Linked DNA regions of Stegostoma tigrinum. The protein of the gene in region 1 purifies or fractionates together with the protein of each later gene. This does not show direct contact. Links are inferred from orthologs where the notes say so. Each region holds a gene or a part of one and is shown in the gene's direction. Other genes may lie near its edges.

Region 1 (7,936 bases):
CTCCAGACCAATAATTCCTGTTTTATTTCAGATTTCGAGCATTCACAGTTCTTTGTTCTTTTATACTGGTGAATCTGCTCTACACTCCTTCCAATGAAATCCTATCCTTATAGAGTGGTGACCAGACATGCACAGTATACTCCAGCTGTGGTCTCATCAAAATAGAGTACAGCAGCAAAAAAATCTCCCTACTCTTATAATTTACACCAAGGCCAAGTTGTAATGTGTCCCATATGCCTTCTGAACCATCCTATTAACCTGTCCTGCTGCCTTTAGGAAACTATGGACAAGCAACCCAAGATCCTATGATCCTCAGCTTCCTAGCGTCCTGCCATTCATTGATTACTCCTTTCTTCCAAATGTCACATCTTATTTTTCAAAGTTAAATTTCATTTACACTGATCTGCCCAATCTGTTCATGTCTACCTGCAATCCAAGATTCTTTCCTCACTGTCAGCCAGTGAAACTTTGCATAACAGAGCCACACTGCAAATAGACCCTTCGGTCCAACTAGTCTATGCTAACCATTTTCCCCAAATTAAGCAAGTCCCACTTGCCTGTCTTTGAACCATATCCCTCCAATGTTTCCTATTCATGTATTTCTCCAAATGTCTTTCAAATATCATAACTGTACCCACATCCACCACTTCCTCTGACACTTCATTCCACATATGAACCAGTGTAAAAAAACTGCCCCATTAGAACTTTCTCCTCTCACCTTGAAAATATGTCCCCTATTTTTGAACACCCCCTATCCTAGGCAAAAATCCTTCCTGTTAACCGTTTCTATGTCCCTCATGATTTTATAAATCTCTACAAGGTCACCCCTCAACAACCTACACTCCAGTAAAAACTTATTTTCAACACCTCACCCCACTCTCATCTACTGTTTATATAGATCATGAACAATAAGGGGCCCAGCACTGATCCCTGTGGACACCTGCCTCGAGTCACACAAACAGCCTTCTGTCACTTCTCTCTCTCTCTAATCACTAAACCAAATTTGGATCCAAATTGCCAAGTTACCCTGGATTCCATGTGCTTTTACTTTTTCTTTAAAAAAAAGTCAGTTGCCCACTTGGAACCCTGTTAATATCTTTGCTGAAATCCATACAAACTACATCAACTACGAGACACTCATCTAACACTTGGAAAAATTCTATCAAATTTGTTAGGCACAACCTCCCTCTGACAAAGCCATGTTGAATATTCCTGATCAAACCTTGCCTTCTTAATCACTTAAATGCATCTGCATAGTAACTTTTAATAGTACATGTCCCAGCTCACAGGTTCCACTGGGCTTCAGAGTTCTGCAATCTCTCGCTATTTAAAATAATGCTCCTTTTCCAATCTTAGTGATAAACGGACAAATTCACAATTTTTCATATTTTAGTCCATCTAAAAATATTGCACACTTAACAGTCTATAAAAGGATATAGGCTGGTTAATATCCACTTGACAATTTTTGTTTTTTTTCTCAAACTCCTATTCTATTATACCTGCCATCTCCCAGGGGAGGTAGTAGTGTAGTGTATGGTCACAGGGCTGATAGTCTAATGTCCTTGTGGGCATGGGTACAAATCCCACTATGTCAGATGATGAGATGTGTGCAATAACAATATAAACAGCTAGGCAAATGGCAGACATTTAACTATTGTCAATTATCATTACAAAGCCCTGTGGTTCACTAATGGCAATGTCATTACCCAGTCTGATCAGCAAACGCACTGTGGTTGACTCTTAAGTTACCCTTCAGCAACTGAGGATGGGAAATAGCTACAAATAGCAGAGCTACTAATTGAGGGGTGATAGATTTAAGACAGATGTCAGAAGCAGGTTCTTTACTTAGAGTGGTAAGGGCATGGAACGCCCTGCCTGCCAATGTAGTTAACTCAGCCACATTAGGGGCATTTAAACAGTCCTTGGATAAGCAGATGGATAATGATGGGATCGTGTAGGGGGAGGGGCTTAGTTCACAGGTCGGTGCAACATCGAGGGCCGAAGGGCCTGTTCTGCGCTGTATTGTTCTATGTTCTAAATAAATGTTGGCCTAGTTCATGAATTAATAAAATAAAACTTATTCAAGACTGTTCCGGTATTCCACTATCAGCCATTATTGATTCCACAATCTTGCCCTTTAAAAGGGCTCACTTTGGTTATACTTTTCATTTTTAAATACTTAAAAGCACCTTATAGTTTTGGTTAAATTTTTGGAATGTTTTCTCTCTAATTTCTCTTTTGCTGATTTCTAAATCTGTCCAGATCTCAGTTCCATACCAATGATACATCCTTCCTGGTGGACTGTTGGAGTATATTTTTAGTGAGGTATGAAAAATTTCAAAAATATATTGCACTGTCCTATCTTTTAAACCATTTTTCCCCAATATTCTGTTTATGTAATTGCCTTGATTCAACTTCAAGGCACTAGATTTTATTAAGAGAGAGTGTGTATACACATGCTTGGGGAAGAGAGAGAGTGGATGTGTCAGATTGAGGGGCTGGGTGAGTAGAATCCCACTATGTACAGATTGCCTTGTTTCTCATTTTCCAACTGTGATGATCAACCATCAGCAATGAAAAATTTGGGGATTCAGACTTGATGGAAACTCTTGCTTCTCGTTTGGTAAGAAATTACAGCTGCAAAAACAGTGAATCTCAGTAAAAATCAATTGTTCCAGGATGTAACATTCAAACTTACAAATAAAAGGACTGTCCCCCAAGGTTTTCAGTCGTAAACAATCTTCAACCTCCAGCTCAATGTCTTCCACCTCTCCCTCTGAGATCCAGAATGCCAAGCTCTGATTGGGGGTGTGTTTCTCTGAGATTTTAATAAGCTCTGGTTTATTAATTAATCGCTTCAGATCTTCAACCAAAATTTTGTCTGTCTGTCCCGCTGCTTCCACCTCTACCGGATGATGTAAAACATGAAAACACAAGGTTAAGGAGCAGGCCTGAGAGCCCATGGCATTAGGTGCTTGACAATTTTCACCTGCTTTTTAATGAGGCTATTCTCGCAGCAATTTTCACTCACTAAGGTTTTACCACTTATGTTTTCAGTCATTTTTCTTTGACACAGACTAAGTCTAAACAGGAAGAAACTCAAATGTTCAGTACTTACCCAAAACTGACGTGCCTGTATGGATCATTTATAATAGGTGGAATGACTTTGAATATGTAATTATTTTTGTTCTCTACAGAAACAAAATGGGATCTCCCACTGCCCCACACCAAAGCTGGTAACATTATCAACACTAATTTCCAGAAAATTTCAATCTCCACATCCTCCTTACTTACACACATGAACAAGAGGAAGCTGTTCAGCCGCTCTTGGCTGTTAGACAGGACCAGTAGAGACCATTCAGCTACTTGAAAGAATTATACACAAATAGGAGGCCATTCACCTTCCCAAATCTAGGAACAGGAACCATTCAACCCTTGAGGCTGTTGTACAAAGTAGGCTATTCACCCTACCAAATCTATTTCAATTTTCAATATGGTCATAGCTACTCAAATTTGGCTTCATATACTCACTGAAGGAAGACATCAAATAGCCAGTGTTGACCTTTTTAGTTTCACTGAAATTTGGTTCAATCTCCACACCAGCAGAATCAAACTTTCTTTTATGGATCCTTGTTGGTTGAATATAAAGAATGAAATAACGATGCTGAAAAGCATAAAGAGTTTTTTTTAAATCTAGACATTTTTGTTCATTAAACCAAGTAGAGCAGTGAATTCTACATAGTTTCCAGTTGTGGCAAAGGATCGTCGGTTACAAACAGAATACTCAGTTTCTGCGAAACTTTGTAAACTTGAGGAAAAAACCAAAAGAACTGTGGATGTCTGTAAATGCAGGAAAACTTCTGCATCCTTGTACTCCAATTCTCTGGATATAAAAGCCATCAATTTTCTACACAAGAGGGTAGATAACTTACAGAGAGAGATACTTCAGGTCAATGACCTTTCATCAGTCCATAGCGTATATAGCAAGTTTTCAAGGACACTTTATCAGGGCTCTGTTGAAAACACAAATACCTGTTTATCATTGGAGCATCATGGATTCGCCCTCCTTGACCTGGTATGGGATTTGAACCTGAAGCTTTTAGTTAGGAGGCAGGTTGCTATACAAATCAGTGCCACATGACCTTCCCAGTATTTCTTTTAACGAAAAGGACTGTGGAGACTGTAAATCCAGCAACTCCTGTTTTTGTTGTGTTTGTAAATTTGAGATTTAATTTCACTTCCGGAGACTCAGGACAAACACTAACACCACGCTCCCGGCTCCCGCCCCGACCGACCGACCACGCCCCACTCTGCTCGTCACAGCCCGGCCTCCAGCAGCAGCACGCACCCCCCCGGGGCCCTCCCGAAACATCATGCCGTCCCTTACCGTGCTCTTTCCGCTCTCGATGATTTGATGGCGGCTGACGGCCCGCAATCTTCCCTCCAGCACCACCCCAGGGCCGCTGCAAACAAAGCGGAGCCGTTACCCCCTTTCAGACCACCCGCTGCCCGCCTCCAATCTCTTTGCAGCTCCCCCGCTACCAGCACTCACCGCTGCAGCTCAGCCGGTTCCCAGCGCCCCGACACCGGCTCCGGGATGACCGGCCTGTTCGCTAACGCTTTATCATCATATATTCTGCTCATAGCGGCTTGTTAGGACCGAAACAGATGACCCAGCGCTTCCGGGATCAGGGCAGGGACCTGCGGACAGATCCCGGTGGAGAGTGGGTGGGTCCACATGCTCAGGGGCGGTGTCTTCTGTGTCAGTGGGCGGAGACACATGCTCAGGGGCGGTGTCTTCTGTGTCAGTGGGCGGAGACATGCTCAGGGGCGGTGTCTTCTGTGTCAGTGGGCGGAGACACATGCTCAGGGGCGGTGTCTTCTGTGTCAGTGGGCGGAGACATGCTCAGGGGCGGTGTCTTCTGTGTCAGTGGGCGGAGACATGCTCAGGGGCGGTGTCCCTGGTGCTAGTGGGCGGAGCTCTGTCGGTAATGGCCGAGCTGCTCCTGCTCCCTGCTGACTTTGGGGACCGGGATTCGCAGCGCTGCCGTCTTGGGCCACGGGTCTTAACCGCTCTGGGCCTCAGCCTGGGTGCACCACTGCGGGTCTGTTTACCGGGAGGCTCAGCTCTGTGCTCTGCTTGGCCACGGGCGGACCGGGCCGAGGGCTTCTTGCAGCTCGACTGCAAATGCGTGAGTCCGGGGCTGTTAGAGAGACCTTGCCGGGGCCTGAGCTTGGGCCTCGGGCACCTAGAGCCCCTCTCCTGTGTTAAACTGAGGCGGGTCCGGGTGCGGGCTGTTCAGTCACATGGACCCGGGCCCGGGCCGGTGGTGGCACAGCTGCTGCTGAAGGAGCTGCTGAGGGGGTTGTTCCTCTGCCCGGGGTTTGTGGTTACGGTAGAGCCGGAGGCCGCGGCCTGGCCTGGGTTGTTCCTGCTGGATGTGGCCGCAGTAGAGCCGGAGCTGTGTCCCGGCAGCGTTGGCGTCCTGGGCCCCGGGACCCAGCTGGAGGTGGCGGAGCGGCTGAACCTGGAGCAGTTCCGAGCCCGAGGAAGGGGCCTGGACCTGGGCAGCCTGCAGCTGTCTGCTGCCCCGCTCCAGGAGATGCTGAACCTTCCGCTTCGTTTCCCGCGGGCCCTGAACCGCCTCGGTCTGCCGTGCCCCCGGGGTTTACTGTTACTTGGGCCTCCGGGGGTGGGGAAAACGGCGCTGCTGCGCGCCGTGTCCCAGGATTTGGCCGCTCCACTGATCCTCGCCTCCCCCGCTACCCTCCGGGGCTCCCGGCCGGGGGAGAGCGAGCAGAGGCTGCGCTGTCTCTTCGCCCAGGCCGAAGCCCAGGCTCGGGCCGGGCCCTGCATCGTCTTCATCGACGACATTGAGTCGCTGTTCCCCCGGAGGGCGGCGGCTGGGAGCCGGCCTGAGGACCGCCTGGTGGCCCAGCTCCTTACTCTGATGGATGGCCTGGAGCCTCGCACTCGCCTTGTCGTGGTAGCCGCCAGCAGCAGCCCCGAAGCCTTGGAACCCGCATTGAGGCGACCCGGCCGCTTTGACCGAGAGGTGCCTGCCTTCCTGAATCGGCCAGTAGTCAGGGTTTGGGAGACAGAGATCCTGGTTTGAGGGAAGAATGGTAGACACCAGGGCAGGGCAGGGCAGAGACGAACCCCTAGGCCAGAGAGAGAGGTACCCGCGGGGTAGGGGTGAGGGAGGAGAGAGACTGGGGGTTTGGGTGGGGGGCAGAGAGACAGATTAAGGATGAGGAAGGCTGAGAGAGTCAGACCTGACGTGGAGAAGTGAAACACTTCCAGGAGCACAAAGTCAGATGTAGGCGATTTTTATGCAACTAAATCCTTAATGGGCGATTTTTATAATTTACTGAATCTGAAAGACTGAGTCTGCCTTTTAACTGCCTTTACAGGTTGTAATCGGGGTTCCAACGACGTCGCAGCGCCGATCCATTCTGGAAGTAGTCACCTCATCAATGCCTCTTGGGGCTGATGTTGATCTGTCCTGGCTGGCAGAAGCTACAAGTGGTTACGTTGGTGCTGATCTGACAGCCCTTTGTCGAGAGGCTGCTCTGCAGGTTGTGAGGCGCAGCTCTCAGGTACTAAAAAGAGCAAAAGAAGCAAGGCCGTGGGGTGTGTTAACCGTGCTGCCCAGGGCATGTGAGGCCTGGAGTGGTGGCTCATAGAATTTATTTGTGCTATTCAAAAACTTACACTAGCTGAGTATAAACCATGTTCAGTCAGTCGCAGAACTAGCCACTAAAAAACAAAAGAACTGTGGATGCTGTAAATCAGGAACAAAAACGGGAGTTGCTGGAAAAGCTCAGCAGGTCTGGCAGCATCTTTGAAGGAGAAAACAGTTAACATTTTGGGTCCAGTGACCCTTCCTGTGAAGGTTCTGAGAAAGGGTCACCAGACCCCAAACATTAACTCTGTTTTCTCCTCCACAGATGCTGCCAGACCTGCTGAGCTGTTCCAGAACTAGCCACGTTCTCAATTAACCTAAAAGTCAGAGTCATAGTTGTACAGCAGGACACCTGGGAGTGCTGAAGACAGTTGTACTCCTGTGAGTTGAGGCCAGATCAGTGTCTGCATGGAGACTCTTCATAGGCGTGCTTTGTTTTTTAATTTTTGCATTAATCAGACAGACTTTAGGAATTATTCTCCTATTTCAAATTTCTCTTTGTAATTATTGACTCTGATTTCTTTAAGGACGCAATGAGCAAGAAAATCACCTTTGCAGACTTCTGTGAAGCAATGAAGATTGTGCAGCCTTCCTGTCTGAGAAGCAGCATCGGGCTTACTGGCTTCAAACCTGTCCATTGGGATCAAATTGGTGGCCTGGAACAAGTCAAACTGAAATTGAGACAGGTGACGAATGTAGCTGTGGTTTAAAGACACAGGTGGCTGTTGTGACCCAAGCCCCTCCCATCTCAGAATTCGCTGTCGCCCACTCCCAGCTGTCTGCTCTAATGGATGAGGCAGATCTTGAATGCAGTCTGTAATTGTTAGCATTCTCTCTGCAGAGTATTGAGTGGCCAATGCTATACCCGCAGGCATTTGAGAGGATGGGGGTGACCCCCACTCGTGGAATTCTGCTGTATGGACCCCCAGGGTGTGCAAAGACCACGCTGGTGAAAGCTGCAGCCTCCAGCTGCCGCTGTCCTTTCCTGTCGATCAGTGGGGCAGATCTCTTTTCACCGTTTGTAGGGGATTCTGAAAAGATTCTGGCTCAGGTGTGTATTTACAACAGGTTCACTCCAGACCGTGTACAGCAAGTTTAATAGTAACCTTATTTAAAGATGTACACTAGCCAAAGTACTTCAGTAAAGCAAAGCCCATGTGTTTTATCACCAACCCTGTACAGATCTATTTCCCTTGTTCTGAGCAATTCAGTTATGTCTATAGTTGTCATGCAGTGAACATCACAAAATA
Region 2 (7,371 bases), on another chromosome or scaffold:
CCTGCAAGAATTTGAGGCTAATCAGGGCACAATCTGTAGATGGTATAACGTGGCGAAAATTGTATTTAAACTATTCTTTGCAGAGTACCAAAATTATTTTGCCAAATATTGGAATTCAGTAATATTAAAGTGGAATGATATAAAATCTGCTTAAATCAACTGAAAAGTAGATGTTACTTGCGTTGATATTATTGGATGAGCTTTTAATATGTTCATACAAGTTGCTAACACACCAAAAACAGAAGTGTTTCTGCATATTATGCCTTGCTAACATCATGGACAGTATTTGAAGGCTTATAAGAATATTTTATTGAAAGGTACAATCATATTGATGATTTTGTCACATAGAATGATACATATTGTTCGAGTTAGAGTATTGACAAGTGACATTGACAAATGGTAGTTTACTGGTATATCAGATTAATCACTTTGATTTAATTATTCCTCTGAATTGAAACAATATTTTTTATTCTGTAAATTTTTATATGATTAGCATAAACTAAATGTTTATATTTTCCACAATACTTAACATTGTAGTGTATTAGTGCATTTTTTCAGCATTGCTCATGTACATGAAAAAGTTATTAATGGATCAGGAAACTTCTTTTTCAGAGGTGGTAGCAATTCTGGTTTTCACACCAAGATAATAAAGTGTGAAGCTGGATGAACACAGCAGGCCAAGCAGCATCTCAGGAGCACAAAAGCTGATGTTTCGGGCCTAGACCCTTCATTCTCTCTAGGCCCGAAACGTCAGCTTTTGTGCTCCTGAGATGCTGCTTGGCCTGCTGTGTTCATCCAGCTCCACACTTTGTTATCTTGGATTCTCCAGCATCTGCAGTTCCCATCATTTCTGGGTTTCACACCAACAGGTTAATAGCTGGAATTTGAAACCAGACAAGAAATCTTACAAGTTATTACATTTGATCAGTTAATAATTAAGTTTTTCCTCCCTTCTTTTGAAGCAGTAATATGTGGTGTTTTTCTTCTTCTTCCATGGTATGTAGGTGATTGCCAGGGTCAGAATTTGTTGCCAATCCCTGGAGAAGGTGGTGGTGAGCTACCTTCTTGTACCACTATCATCCCTTTCAGACAGAGGTGTACCCCAGTGCTGTTAGAAAGGGAGACCCAAGATTTTAATCCTGCAACAGTGAAGGGTTGTTGTGTCCCTGAGTACCCCAAAATCCATGCTAAGGTTCCAATTCATGATGATGTGTGGCTAAGAAGGGGCTTACAGATGCTGGTGTTCCATGCATCTGGTACCCTCATTCTTTTAGGTGATAGAAATCTCAGGATTGGAGGATGCTGTCAAACAAATGTTGGTGAGTTGCCACAGTCCATTGTGATGTATTTCTCCATCTCCATGCACTGGTGGTTAAAGGAGTGAAGTTGGTCCGATGAAATGCTGATTAAAGTGGGATGCTTTGTCCTGGATGTTTTATCAGAAATGTAAACACTAGCTGAAAAAAAACTACAGTTGCATTTATTGAAAAAGCAAAAATGAGGTTCAAAGTTTTACAGAAGTCAGGCAAGATAACTATACAGGAGGAAAGCGATTGCTGAAGAGAAAGCAACCAATTTTATGCAGTGTCTTTATATCAATAGCTGGAATATTACAAACAAAATAGAGTAACTAAAGACACATGGACGGATTGATCTGTTAGCAATGACAAATCCAGCTGCAACTTTAGTGAGAATGAAAGTGAGAAATTTAAGCTTTAATATTCACAGGAGTTCTTGCACCTTGTGACAGGTAGCACCCTGTCTCTTGACCAGAAGCACAGATGATTAGGGAAGAAAAATATCACTATTTATAGCTCCAGATTATAAAAGGCATGTAATGTTGCATATTGATACAGCAACATAGATACCCACAGAATTTGTAAAAATGGAATATACAAGTGGATGAGCAGAATCTACAAAAGCACTAGCATGATACTAAAAGAATCACAGAATCCCTACAGTGTGAAGACAGGCTATTCAGTCCTTGAGTCCACATTGACCCTCCAAACAGCATCCCACCTAGACCCACTGCATCCCTCTAATCCTAAATTTCTCATGGTTAACTCACCAAGCCTGCATATCCCTGACCACTATGAGCAATTTCGGCACGATCAACTCACCTAATCTGCATAGATTTGGACTGTGGGAGGAAACTGGAGCACCCAGAGGAAACCCAATGGGAGAATGTCTGTGTGGAGTTTGCACAGTCACCCAAGGGTGGAATCAAACCTGCGTCCCTGGCAGCAGCACTAGTCACTGAGCTACTGTGCGGTGTCCAAAAACAAGGAACAATTTGATGGATTTGTTCACAGAATTAAATGCTTGTGTATTTTCAGAGCAATTCAATGACCGATCTCATTCATTTCATCTTTGGTTTTTTTGTTGAAAATTGGTTTATGAGCACAACATTGTAATGATCAGGAATCAAACCCAGGTCAACTGCTTAGAAGGCAGATATGCTCACCGGTGTTCTGCCAGAATTTCTGTGGCATAGGAAAGTATCTTAGCAGAAGAAGCACATTTAACTGCATATGCAGATCAGAATGCATGTAAAATGTGATGAAGGGAGATTTACCAGAACAAGAATGGGAATTAATTTACTGAATATATTCAGGATCATTAGTCAAGTAGTGTTTCATCAATGAAACATGTGAACCTTAATATTGGTGAAAGTAATGAATCAGGAATAAAAGATCTACTGATAAATAAAACATTTGGTAATTCTTACACATTTCAGTCTACTGTGGATATTTCTTGTATATTATACCAAGCATTTTACATAAACTACTAACCATTCTGTGCCCCATTGTGGTCTGAATAGGATATTGTGCTTTCTGTCAATGTCACCACAGTCCAGTCTTCAGTTTGTTTGAAAGTGAAATTAAACATTCAGTAAACAAGATCAGATAAATTGTTAAGCTGCAGCATTTCACCTTATGTGGATGTAAAAGATAACAATTAAAGAAAAATAGAATGTGGAGCTGGATGAACACAGCAGGCCAAGCAGTATCTTGGGAGCACAAGGGTCTAGGGCTGAAACGTCAGCTTTTGTGCTCCCAAGATAATGCTTGGCCTGCTGTGTTCATCCAGCTCCACACTTCGTTATCTCAGATTCTCCAGCATCTGTAGTTCCCATTATCTCTGAATTAAAGAAAAGTAATCTGCTTAAGTCAATCTTACTCCTTTCCTCACAAACACGGACTTTACTAACTGAGTACAATGTCCAATTTGACTTACTCCTTATACCCAATTCAAGGATAAACCACATCATTTAAACCTTCATAATATACAGGAAGACCAAGAAAAACAGGGATAGAGTCCAGGATGCATTGAGATCAGAAAATGAAGAAACCAGATGCAGTCACAGCATTTATGGAGAGAGAACCAGAGTTATATTTCTGGTTTCCTTCAAAATTCAGGATATACTAAGATGGTGAGAGCATGGTAACACTGAGCACTGAGATTGAACCATGCTGATAGACACCTGCCCCCACACCACCACCCTCACCCCCATCCCAGGCCCAAGGTGACTTTCCACATCAAGCAGATGTTCACCTGCACATCCGCCAATGTGGTATACTGCATCCGAAGTACAGAGTGTGGCTTCCTCTACGCTGGGGAAACCAAGCGGAGGCTTGGGGACTGCTCTGCAGAACACCTACACTCGGTTCACAGTAAACAACTGCACCTCCCAGTTGCGAACCATTTCAACTCCCCCTCCCATTCCTTAGACGACATGTCCATCCTGGGCCTCCTGCAGTGCCATAATGATGCCACCTGTAGGTTGCAGGAACAGCAACTCATATTCCGCTTGGGAACTCTGCAGCCCAATGGTATCAATGTGGACTTCACAAGCTTCAAAATCTCCCCTTCCCCTACTGCAGCCCAAAACCAGCCCACCTCACCCCGCCTCCCTAACCTGTTCTTCCTCTCACCTATCCCCTCCTCCCACCTCAAGCTGCACCTGCATTTTCTACCTACTAACCTCATCCCACCTCCTTGACCTATCCATCCTCCCTGGACTGACCTATCCCCTCCCTACCTCCCCACGCATACTCTCCTCTCCACCTATCTTCTCCTCTATCCATCTTCGGTCCGCCTCCCCCTCTCTCCCTATTTATTTCAGAATCCTCTCCCCCCCCCCCCCCTCCCTATTTATTTCAGAATCCCCCCCCCCCGATGAAGGGGCTAGGCCCGAAATGTCAGCTTTTGTGCTCTTAAGATGCTGCTGGGCCTGCTGTGTTCACCCAGTCCCACACTTTGTTATCCTGCTAGACATGGCCATGTGACTTGAACATTTGGAACGGTGCAATCTGGGAGTTGTAGTTCTCAAAATTTCAGCCGGCAATCGGTGCGCATGCGCCGCTCCGCCTTCCTCGCGCTTGGTCCGTGGCTGCAGTAGGTTAGAGGGCCCTCGCTAGGATGGACAGCTTCTCTTCAGATTTCTCCTCAGGCGGGCCTGGAGGAGGGAAGGTGGACTCCGGGATGATCATGGAGCAGGTGAAACTGCAAATCGCCGTGGCAAACGCACAGGAACTTTTACAGGTTGGTAGGCGCTAAAGAGTATCCAACAGTAGGACCTGGCTCCATGGAGCTCCTCCCTCCAGTTACCGTCCTCACCGGTTCCCGCGGTATGATGGTCGGCCGGTCCGACCAATGAGAATTCAGGCGACGAGGGGGCGGGGGAAATCATTGCATATGACGTCATGGGCACGGTGTCTTGAAGGCAAAGGTCAATCTTCCTTTACAGCGTTCGCCCCCCACGTGGAGGACAAGGACATTGAAAATCCCAACTGAAGCTGGCAACCAGGAAGTTTGCAGGTTTTTTTATTTTTAATGAATGGAATTTTCCATTTCTCAATGCTACGATATCCTGAAAAAAAATCAATCCAATGTAGCTTTGTTAGCTCCTCGAATAGAGTAACAAATTTCAAGGACCTTCCCAGGTCTAGCAAAGGACATAGAGATCGAAAGCACGGAAACAGACCCTTTGGTCAACTCTTCCATATTATCGATTTGTTACCTCTAGGCTTAACTATCATAACACACTTCTACTTGGTCTCCCACATTCAACCTCCTTGTAATCTTAGTGATACCTGAAACTCTGCTCACCTGCAACAAAACTTGTTAACCCATCAACTCTGTGTTCCCTCACATACAAAGGTTCCTTTTTGTAAGCAACATATTAAAATTTTCATCATCTATTTAATTCCTGGCTGTGTTCATCCTTATCTCCCCACACAATTCAAACTTTGAGACCTCAAGAATTCATTTATTCAGATTCCAGCAATGCGTTTATTCATTGCTTCACTATTGGTGGCTGTTGCTACAGTTGCCAAAGCTTTTGTATCCCAAACCACTTGCAATAATTGCCAACATACCTTTGACTTCGTGGTCATATTGTTATATCTGCATGTTAACTTTTGGTTGTTAAGAAGGATCACTGGACCCACAGATGCTGCCAGACCCCCCCGAGTTTCTCCAGCAATTTATGTTTCTGTTTCTGTTAATTTTTTGAGTTTTGACGATATTTCAATGCCTTTAAACACCAATAGTCAATAGTTTCCCACCATCCGTTAGTAGCAAATATACCAACTTTTTCTGACCTGTCTATTCCAAACTCTTTCTGTCCTTTAATTACTCCACTACTCATGCTGTTATGTTACCCTAACCTTGTGAACACATTGAGCCAAGTAAAATGATATGAGGACTAATGAACAAAAGCGTTGTCAAAAAGGTAGGATATAAGGAGTGAAATAAAACAAGGATGCTGATGATCTGGAACAAGAACGTAAATTGCTTGAGAAACTTAGCAGGTCTGGCAGTGTCTGTGAAGAGAAAAGAGGTAATGTTTCGAGATCTGTGATCCTTTTTCAGATGGATATAAGGAGTGTCTGAATGGAGGAAGGAGTGCCAACAAGGCAACTGCAGACTTTAGGACCAAAGCAGCTGAAAGCATGCCCTACACTATCTTAGGGAGGGAGTTGTAGAATTTTGGCTAAATGGCATTTGGTATGCTCGCCTTTACTAGTAGGTGGATTGAGTATAGGAGTTGGGAGGTCATGTTGCAGATGTACTGCACATTGGTTAGGCCAGCATCGGAATACTGCATACAGTTCTGGTCTCCCTACAGTTCTGGTCTCCCTGTTCAAGGAAGGATGGTGTGAAACTTGAAAGGGTTCAGAAAAGATTTACAAGGATATTGTCAGGGTTGGAGGGTTTGAGCTTTAGTTAGAGGCTGAGTAGACTGGGGTTATTTTCTCTGGAATGTCAGAAGCTGAAGGGTGACCTTATAGAAGCCTATGAAACCACCATGAGGGGCATGGATAAGGTAAATAGACAAGGTTTTTTCCTTGGGGTTGAGGAATTCAAAACTACTGGGCATAGGTTTAAGGTGAGAAGGGGAAAAAGGTTCCTAAGAGGCAACTTTTTCATACAGAAGGTGCATGTATGGAATGAGCTGCTAGAGGAAGTGTTGGGGGCTGGTACAATTATGGCATTTAAAAAGACACCTGGATGGCATATGAGTAGGAAGGGTTTAGAGGGATATGGGCCAAATGCTGGCAAATGGGACTAGATTTATTTAGGATATGTGGCCGGCATGGATCGGTTGGACTGAGGGATGTATTTCTGTGCTGTATATGTCAATGTCTAACATGTTTGCATAATTAAGTCCAGAACCAAAGATTACTGGTTAGTTTGGTTTCTTAAACAAAAAAAAATAAAGATGACTAGGTTGTCTTGTGTCCCTTTAGGAAAGGTGAAAACTTTGAATTGTTAATGGCATTATCAAGACTTTTTTTAATGGTATGTGGGCCTCAGTGCCAAATTCAGTATTGTTCCCCATCTTTAGTTGCTAGGTAGTTTCAAAGGCTGGGTAATCACAGTACAGCAGGTCCAGGTAAGGTTGGCAGATTTCCATTCTTAAAGGACATTGGTGAACCAGATGGCCTTTTACGTATATGTAAGTGTATGAATGAGAAGCAGAAATAGTCCTATTGGCCACTACATGCCTGTTCCAGTATTCTGTATGTTTGTATATTTGCATCTACCCCAGATAATATTTGAAGCCCTTGCCTAACAGGAATCTGTCTAATTTTGCCTTTAAAATGCTCAATGATACTTCCTCCACCTCCTTCTGAGACAGAAAGTTCTGAAGTCTCAAAACAGCACGAGAAAAAAGCTTCCACCTTTTCTGAAAACCATGCAGGCTATTAGATCATAGAAGTTATCATAGAGTCACTACAGTGTGGAAACAGGCCCTTCGGCCCTACAAGTCCACACCGGCCTTCAGACCATCCCACCCAGACCCATCACCCTATACCCCACCTAATCTACACAACCCTGAACACAATGGGCAGTGTAACGTGG

The links.
Region 2: the proteins of afg2b (region 1) and timm13 purify together in Homo sapiens (co-immunoprecipitation; 3 studies listed by BioGRID and IntAct, with this or other methods). This does not show direct contact. The link is inferred for Stegostoma tigrinum from reciprocal best matches to the Homo sapiens genes AFG2B and TIMM13.

What each region holds. Positions count from the first base shown.
Region 1 is NC_081386.1:37,033,928-37,041,863, reverse strand, and holds the start of afg2b (spermatogenesis-associated protein 5-like protein 1), read left to right. Parts: upstream 1-4,933; 5' UTR 4,934-4,991; coding exon 4,992-6,056; intron 6,057-6,414; coding exon 6,415-6,600; intron 6,601-7,213; coding exon 7,214-7,372; intron 7,373-7,527; coding exon 7,528-7,737; intron 7,738-7,773; exon of another isoform or gene 7,774-7,936. Other genes in the region: arpin-like, read right to left, coding at 2,699-2,905, 3,532-3,664, 4,388-4,463, 4,553-4,644. UniProt on the Homo sapiens protein: ATP-dependent chaperone part of the 55LCC heterohexameric ATPase complex which is chromatin-associated and promotes replisome proteostasis to maintain replication fork progression and genome stability.
Region 2 is NC_081383.1:26,604,769-26,612,139, reverse strand, and holds the start of timm13 (mitochondrial import inner membrane translocase subunit Tim13), read left to right. Parts: upstream 1-4,355; 5' UTR 4,356-4,422; coding exon 4,423-4,545; intron 4,546-7,371. UniProt on the Homo sapiens protein: Mitochondrial intermembrane chaperone that participates in the import and insertion of some multi-pass transmembrane proteins into the mitochondrial inner membrane.